2 linked regions of the Sus scrofa genome follow. The protein of the gene in region 2 binds, or shares a complex with, the protein of the main gene of each other region. Links are inferred from orthologs where the notes say so. Each region holds a gene or a part of one and is shown on either strand. Other genes may lie near its edges.

The links.
Region 1: WRAP53 (region 2) and NOP10 share a complex: the UniProt entries of both Homo sapiens proteins name them as parts of the telomerase holoenzyme complex. The link is inferred for Sus scrofa from reciprocal best matches to the Homo sapiens genes WRAP53 and NOP10.

The regions. Positions count from the first base shown.
Region 1 is NC_010449.5:80,159,295-80,162,863, forward strand, and holds NOP10 (H/ACA ribonucleoprotein complex subunit 3), read left to right. Parts: upstream 1-1,729; 5' UTR 1,730-1,836; coding exon 1,837-1,890; intron 1,891-2,186; coding exon 2,187-2,327; 3' UTR 2,328-3,005; downstream 3,006-3,569. Other genes in the region: NUTM1 (NUT family member 1), read right to left, coding at 25-166. UniProt on the Homo sapiens protein: Required for ribosome biogenesis and telomere maintenance. Part of the H/ACA small nucleolar ribonucleoprotein (H/ACA snoRNP) complex, which catalyzes pseudouridylation of rRNA.
Region 2 is NC_010454.4:52,953,416-52,957,765, reverse strand, and holds the start of WRAP53 (telomerase Cajal body protein 1), read right to left. Parts: upstream 3,093-4,350; 5' UTR 2,757-3,092; coding exon 2,353-2,756; intron 2,206-2,352; coding exon 2,107-2,205; intron 2,001-2,106; coding exon 1,889-2,000; intron 1-1,888. UniProt on the Homo sapiens protein: RNA chaperone that plays a key role in telomere maintenance and RNA localization to Cajal bodies. Specifically recognizes and binds the Cajal body box (CAB box) present in both small Cajal body RNAs (scaRNAs) and telomerase RNA template component (TERC).

The sequences.
Region 1 (3,569 bases), on a different chromosome or scaffold from region 2:
AACCTCCCCCACCTGCAGACTCACCTCCATCTGAAGCCATCCTCTCCGGTTTGGGCACTAACCGTGGCTGCCTGGAAGCCTTCACAATGACACGGTGGGTCCAGCACCCAGAGAGTAACCTGGCTCCAGTAGATACACAGGGATCCAAGGAAGGAATGGTAAACATCAGATCAAAACAGAACTAGAATCTAGGACCCAAGGCATTCTGCAGGGGGGGAGGGGAGGTGGCATTATGGGGTGGGGTTAGGGAGAGATTCCACAAAGGGCTCTGGAAGTGGGCAGTAACCAGGAATTCCCTCCAAATCAGAGTATGGCAACACAATTGTTGCACACCTCTCTGGGGCAACTTGCAGATTCTTTCCTGGATTCCCAACCACATCTTGGTTCCCTACAGAATTCTTCACCAATACATCTAGTTTTTGTCTTTCAATGCTACCCAGTTCTATAACTGACTTCCTATTAATAACAGGTTCTGGCAAACCCTTGACTTAATTCAGTGTTGGCTGTATTTTCTGAACCAAATTCAGAGCACATAGTCTGTGTACTTAAGGATCAAGGGAACAGAATGTTTGAAATTAGGGTTGTCTTAGAAGATCAAGGGCATTGAATTGCTGTATACATATCATTTCCTTGGAAAGCTGTGCTGCAGTTCCCAAACTGTCCACTACCATCAGCTCTGCAGTCCACAGAAGGCTTAGCCTTAACCCTGGCTGAAAAGCCTCCCATTCCATCAAAAACTGCTATTCAGCCTAAAATTTCAAGAGCAAAAAGTCCTTCTTTTTGTTTGTTATTTTTGTTTAAAATTTTTGTTAATAATCTTAATTTTTTAAATGGTAATATGTCAGCATGGTTCAAAAGTCAAACTATGCAAAATGAAATATAACAAGTCTCCAACCATTCCTTTCCTCTGGAACCGAGTTATTTACCCCAGGGAAAACCAAATTTCCTCTGAATCCTTGCAAAGGTATTTTATGCAATTATAATAAACACAAACTATACTCTTTTTAAAAAAGCTTTCAGCTTTTTCTGGTTATAAACTTAATATATATTACAACGTTTCTGCCGTTATAAATAATAACGGCCACCTTCGTAAAGATATCTCGGTTCCAAATTCATTGCTTTAACTAGAAGTCCTATAAGGAGAATTTGTACGTTCTTTTAAAAATTCGAAATACCCCTAAGGGGTGCGTCTTATTAGCTACTCACCACTATAAGAATGGGCGTTGAATTTGTGGTAGAGACTTGAGTTTGAATCTTGGTTCGACCATTAAAACATACTTCACCAGTTTCATAAAATAACTTCACGCTCTTTTCGCTGTACAGAATATTGAATACCCATCATGCACTCTTTACCGCCAATACTTTGAAATAGGGCGAGGGAACCGGATGTAAAAGAGGGGAGGGAAGAAAACCTTCTTCTTTCTTCCCTAAAGTAAAAGGGGTTCTGGGTCCTGGAGCCCTGGTTTCTCCAGGTAATAGAAGCTCACTGCCTCTGAAATGGGTGTGTATCTTGTGATAAAGACAGGATTTTATTCATTAATGTTCAATCTATATCCATCCCTTCCCCCCACTGACGCCAAGCAGTGCCTAGCACACAGTGGGCACACTCCACGTGTCTCATAACGCCTGCAAGTTTGCAACTGGATTGCAACTGGCCAAGTCCTGCGGTAGTGCCCCCTTCCGGCCGGCTGGAGAAAGGCCTAAGTTGGACTACATTTCCCGGCGTGCTTTGAGAGCGAGACTTCCGTCTATACCGGAAGGAAGTTGCCAAACACTTTAGGCCTTCAGTTAGAAGCAGCTGCGGAAGGACCTGCGTCTACTGGCTTCAGCGTGATCATGTTTCTCCAGTATTATCTCAACGAGCAGGGAGACCGGGTCTATACCTTAAAGGTGAGAAGAAACAGGTTGTAAATGGGCATGACGAGAACTGTAGTTGGGAGGGGCGGTCAAGGCAAGCCAGTGAATTGCCTGCCTGGGTGAGGGGAACTAGAAAGCCCAGAAGCTACGCGTAGTAGAAGCAGGAGTGTCTGGCTCCTGGATCCGACCGTCGCGTGTCCTGTCTTCATGTTTACCTTTTTCCGCGTTGCCCCCTCCCCATCCCAGGCCCCATCTCTCATGACTCTCAGTGATAGGGTTTTCTCACCACTCCATTACTGAGATTTGTTATCTCTTTCCTCCTCGAGCAGAAGCTCGACCCCACGGGACAACAGACTTGCTCGGCCCATCCTGCTCGGTTCTCCCCAGACGACAAATATTCTCGACACCGGATCACTATCAAGAAACGCTTCAAGGTGCTTATGACCCAGCAACCGCGCCCCGTCCTTTGAGAATCTCTTAAAATTGTATGCTGCCTGCTAGCGCTCAAGAGACTGTGCAACCAAGCTCTTCGATCTGTGAGCCTTGAAGATTTACTCCAACCCTTGCTCATTAGAATCCGGTCTCATCATTGCCTTTGATCATGCTTGTTGTGAAGCAGTCATGCTAGCATTCCCTTTAAAGGGAAAAAGTTTGAATCTTTTTTTTCATACTTTGAATCACTGCCATGTTATTAAAATGATTTGAAAGAGCTCTTATTTTGTATGTTGTAAGAAGAGAGGATTGGTTTAAAAACAAACGAGGGAGATGAGAGGGAAGAGTACCCCAGGGATACAAGACTTCTTGGTGGCTGCTGTAGCAGTAGTGCTATGCTATGAGTCATAGGAGGGGGCTGGGGAAAGGGAGGAAAGCTTGAGAAAGACTCATCTGCAACAGCCACCTTCACTTGGCCAACCGTTGTGAATAGGAATGCCTTTATGTGTGTTTACTGACCCTGTGGAAATATTCCCAGGCCTTTAGTTCTTTCCATCAAGGAATTCTCTTCTTACATACACCTAACTTCACATTCTGTCTGCTATGTGGAATTCTACATGGATCTTAATTTAGAAGATGAGGCATGAGAGATTCAAGCAGGGATTTTTATTTTTCATGCTCCTCTTGAGGGATCATTTTTATTAAATTGTGGAGGATGTCTTAGGCCTTGAGCTTCTGTCATGGGGTAATCACAAATTTTTAATCCGATTACTTCATAATAGAGGGATGATGAGGCATAATATTGTATACAGGTATCCAAGAAATCCGGGAGTTTCCTGGTGGTCTAGTGGTTAGGTAGGACTCTGCGTTTTCACCCCTGCAGCCTAAGTTCAATACCTGGTCTGGGAGCTGAGATCCCATCTCAGGCCACTGCATGCCTCCAGCCAAAAAAAAAGAAAGAAAGAAATGCTAATGCTAACTTGCTTTTTCCATTCCTTAGGTTAATCGACTCACTATTTCCTAATCTTCTCATTTCTGGCTTTTGACGTTGAATTTAAACGTTTTCTTAGTGCCACTGATTTAAAATTGCCTTTTGGAGATTGCATCCAATTGTACAATCTTCTTTTCCTACATAGGCTTCCAGAAGCAGATGTGACTTAAATAAGCGCAAATCTGATTTATCAAGAGTGGTCCTGGAAAGGGGTAAATGTGCTTCTCTTGGACTCTGATGTTCGATCATCCCAGCAGAAAAGTTATAGTTGTTGACTGCTGAGGGGGAA
Region 2 (4,350 bases):
GACCTAAAAACCCTTGACTTCCATCCCAAGAGCTCTTCACTTCCCAAGTGAACTGTATCTCCATCCACCCCACTGGCTTCGCAGTCCCACAAAATATACTTCAACTCCACCCATCTCTCTCTCTCCTGATGCCACCCCAGCCCAAGCCAGCATCGTTTCTCGCCTGGACTATGACAAACTGCGTCTTAACAGAGTCTCCACTCTTGACCACTCACAGTCCATCAGAATTCCCTGGTGGCCTGGTGGTTAAGGATCTGGCATTGCTACTGCAGTGGCACGGGTTCAATCCTGGGCTTGGGAACTTTCATGTGCAGCCAAAATAAATGAGTAAATAAACTTCAACTATCATTTCACTCTTTTATTTTTTATTTTTCTTTTTATGGCCACACCTGTGGCATATGGAAGTTCCCAGGCTAGGGCTCACATTGGAGCCACAGCTGCTCGCCTACACCACAGCCACAGCAACGCCAGATCTGAGCCACATTTTCGAATTATGCGTGCAGCTCATGGCAACGCCGGATCCTTTAACCCACTGAGCAAAGCCAGGGATGGCACCCACCTCCTCATGGATCCTAGTCTGGTTCTTAACCCACTGAGCCACAATGGGAACTCCCAACACTCTTCTCTTTTAAAACTCTCCCATGGCTTCCCAGAGGCACTCCGAAGGCCCCACCCACAAGATCTGGCATCAGGCATGGTGGCCTTCTTTCTGTTCCTTGAACACATGAAGTTCTTTCCCAGCTCTGGGTTCTCTGGGTTGTTGTAGCATCTCTGCCCCCTTCTTTTTTTTTTTTTTTGTCTTTTCTAGGGCCGCTCCCTCGGCATATGGAGGTTCCCAGGCTAGGGGTCGAATCAGAGCTGTAGCTGCCAGCCCACGCCACAGCCATAGCAATGCGGGATCCAAGCCGCATCTGCAACCTACACCACAGCTCACCGCAACGCCAAATCCTTAACCCACTGAGCAAGGCCAGGGATCGAACCCGCAACCTCATGGTTCCTAGTCGGATTTGTTAACCACTGCGCCACGACGGGAATTCCCACATCTCTGCCTCTTTGTGGAGCACTCTTTCTATACCTCTTCACATGCCGATCTTGTCATCCTTCAGGTCTTAGCTCAAATGTTTCCTTTTCAGAGAACTCCTCCCCAGCCACTTTATTTAAAGTGGTATCCTCTGGTTAATCTCTCCTCATTCTGTTTACTTCCTTCACGGTATATATATATATATATATATTTTTTTTTTTTAAAGCCCGCACCTGTGGCCTATGCAGGTTCCCAGGCTAGGGGTCGAATCGGAGCTACAGCTGCCGGCCATAACCACAGCCACAGCCATGCAGTATCCGAGCCGCATCTGTGACCTACATCACAGCTCTCGGCAATGCCAGATCCCTCACCCACTGAGCAAGGCCAGGGATTGAACCTGCAACCTCATGGTTCCTAGCTGGATTCATTCCCATTGCGGTATTTAACAAATACCCCTTCATGGTATTTGTTAAACTCAATAATGAACTTGACTGCTTATTGGGTAACATGTTTCCCACACAAGAAAGCAAACCAGTTCTTCATCTGTCTCGTTCATCACTTCACCCCAACACCAAACACAGTAGGTGGCATATTAGTGGTCATTCAATAAATATCTGAAAGTCAATTAAAAACTACGGAGAGAAATCCACTACTCCTTTATGGAAAACATATATTCCTAATGAAAGATAAGCCAAATATCACTTTAAATGACTTCGGAACTGACGGCCGAAAATGCTACCTGTGGAAACTCACGGTGAAAAAATACCCTGTTTGTGACAGGAAACATGTGGACTGTACTTTCTCCATCTACAGGCAGGACTTAAAAGTGCCCTGGCTGAGGAAGGGGCAGTTAGTCCCTACCCTTACCATTTCTGCGTATTCCAGCTGCTCCCCCTCACTGTACAGCTCTGGGGGCAGGTTATAAATCCGCAGGACGTTATCAGCACTATTGGTCAGGATGCAGGAACCATCAGGGGCCCTAGGAGTAGGAGAGAGAAGCCTGGATAGACCTGTATCTTGCGAGTGTTGGGCTTGAGCTGAGCAGACCTGTGGCAGAGGTGAGCCCCCTCCTCATCCTTACTTACCACTTACAGCCTTTCAAGAAGTTCTCAGGTTGGGTGCTGAACTCTGACCAGGAACCGCTAAGAAACCGGGGTAGCTGCGAGAAGCTGTAGTTCCAAGTGCTGGAAGGAAGATGGGGAAGACAAACCTGGGTCGCCAAAGCCAAGGAGAAATGGGCCTGGAGAAGTGGGGCTGAGGACTGGCGGATGAGATATATCTCACATTTCCAACCTCCTCAGATTCCTGAGCCAACTGCCATCAGCACTTACGTGTATCCCTCATCCTCTGGAGCGGGTTCCTCAGACACATCTTCCATGTCTTCTCCCGGCCCCAACTCTGGCTTGTTCGTTTCTTCTGCAGGAAGGCTCACTTTTTCAGAAAGTTCTTGCTCCTCGATTCGAGGGCTCAACTCACTAGGAGTATCAAACTCAGCTTCCAACGGAGTGGAGAGAGAAGCTGGGTCCCCTTCCCCCAGCTCCTGGGACACGGCCGAGCCAGCTCCAGGATCCGGGGATATCCGGGGCGCATCATCCCCATCGGGTGGCGGTGGCGTCTGTTCAGGGTTCGTATTTTTATCCATCGAGGAAGCCTGAGGAGAGAGACGGGCTGCAGCTGGGGCCTGGTCTGAAGGAAGGCAGTCCGGAGCTAACACTGGCGCCTCCGGGGTCTTCATACTGCAGAGGAAGCACGGCAAACATTGGCCGCGGCCAGGCAATCCTCTTCCCGCCGGCTACCAGCTGCCGGGCCTGCGGAACGGCAGAGACCGCCGTAAGTTCGCACGGATCCGGACGCAGAACTGGAGAAACCCAGCAGTGCCTTCTTTCTGCTCCCGGGATAGGACAGAAAACAGCCCCCCGCCCCCAGGCCTCGCGAGGCGAGGCGGGCGAACAGGAATGTTGGAGAGCTCGGCGATCCTTAGCCCTGTCGGTGGCTACGCGCCACCTGTTCTCGCGGGATTTGGGCCCACCATTCGATTGGACCTCCGCATCCCGGATCAGACTTCGCGGGCGACCCACAAGAGGGGCGGGGCAGGGACGTAACAGGTCACGGGTTACCGTTCCCCTCCAGTCCTGAATCTCCTAGTGCCTGCTGGGACTTGTAGTCCGAGAGCTTCTGAGTCAGGGAGATGTGTCTGAGCTCCTCGCGCTATCATTCTTCAAGCACCTACTCCCCTCCCCACCTGCAGAGGGCGCGAGCGCTATATTTGTTTTTACGGGGTTTGAACCTGTTTTGCATCTCAACTCCTCAGACCTCCGTCTCTTTTCATTCATTCAATAAATATTTATCATTGAGCTCTTCTTTGCTACCCAGTACTGTACTGGAAAAGACAAGAATGAATAAGATAGTAGGCAAGGTCTCTGCTCTCCTAACGCTTAGGTTGCTGTGTATTGAAGGCAAGGAACAAATTATTTCAAAACGTGATAGGGTCTAGGAAGGAAATTAAACAAGACAGTGTGATACAACGTAACTAGGAGAATACGTTAGCTTGGAACATTAAGGAAGGTCTTCCTAAAAATTGACATTTTAGCTAATGAGGAACTATCCAGCCATCTGGGAGAGCAGAGTTCCAGGCAAAAGGTGCAAAGGCTGTCTTTCTTTCACCTTCATGTCTGACTCGGGGACAAGTCTTTCAAAATGGTTTCCACCAATTCTGTTCTCACAGATCTGGGTTGTCGAATTTCTTCACCGCAAACTGTCAGTAGCTACAAAACCAACACAGCAGGAATCCTGACTCCCCTCACCCTCACCACCTCCGTCCGTCGCCACCGCCCGCAGGGTAATTGCTTGCCCTTACTTGTCATGGCGACTTTGTGCCAGGAGTCTCGCGATGGTTGCTGGGATTGGGATTTTCCCCTCCCATGTGCTCGGACTGGCGCTAAAAGTTTTGAGCTCCTCAAAAGTCCAGGGCCACCATCCTTGGCGCAGGTAGCTGCTGGTCTCCGGGGTCACCTGACGTCCCGTCTCGAGCGTGCATCCCAGGACAGTGACACGCTCTCCTGAGCTTCGGGTAAGCTCTTAACTGAGCCTGATGAATACTCTATGAGTCATGGGCTCTCGGGTCTGTGTATTTTCAGCTCAGAAGAAAGGAGGATGGAGGTGGAGCGAAAGATTTAGTGATTTGGGGGGGGGGGGGAAATGGAAGTTCTTCTAGCGGCATCAACAGAGGAATGCAATGTTGGGAGGCCTGAGTGTAGATGATAGGGATGTTAGGACCAACCGAACTAAAAAGCTGAACACCTGCGCCGGGTAGTGGGGCTTTGGGGAAA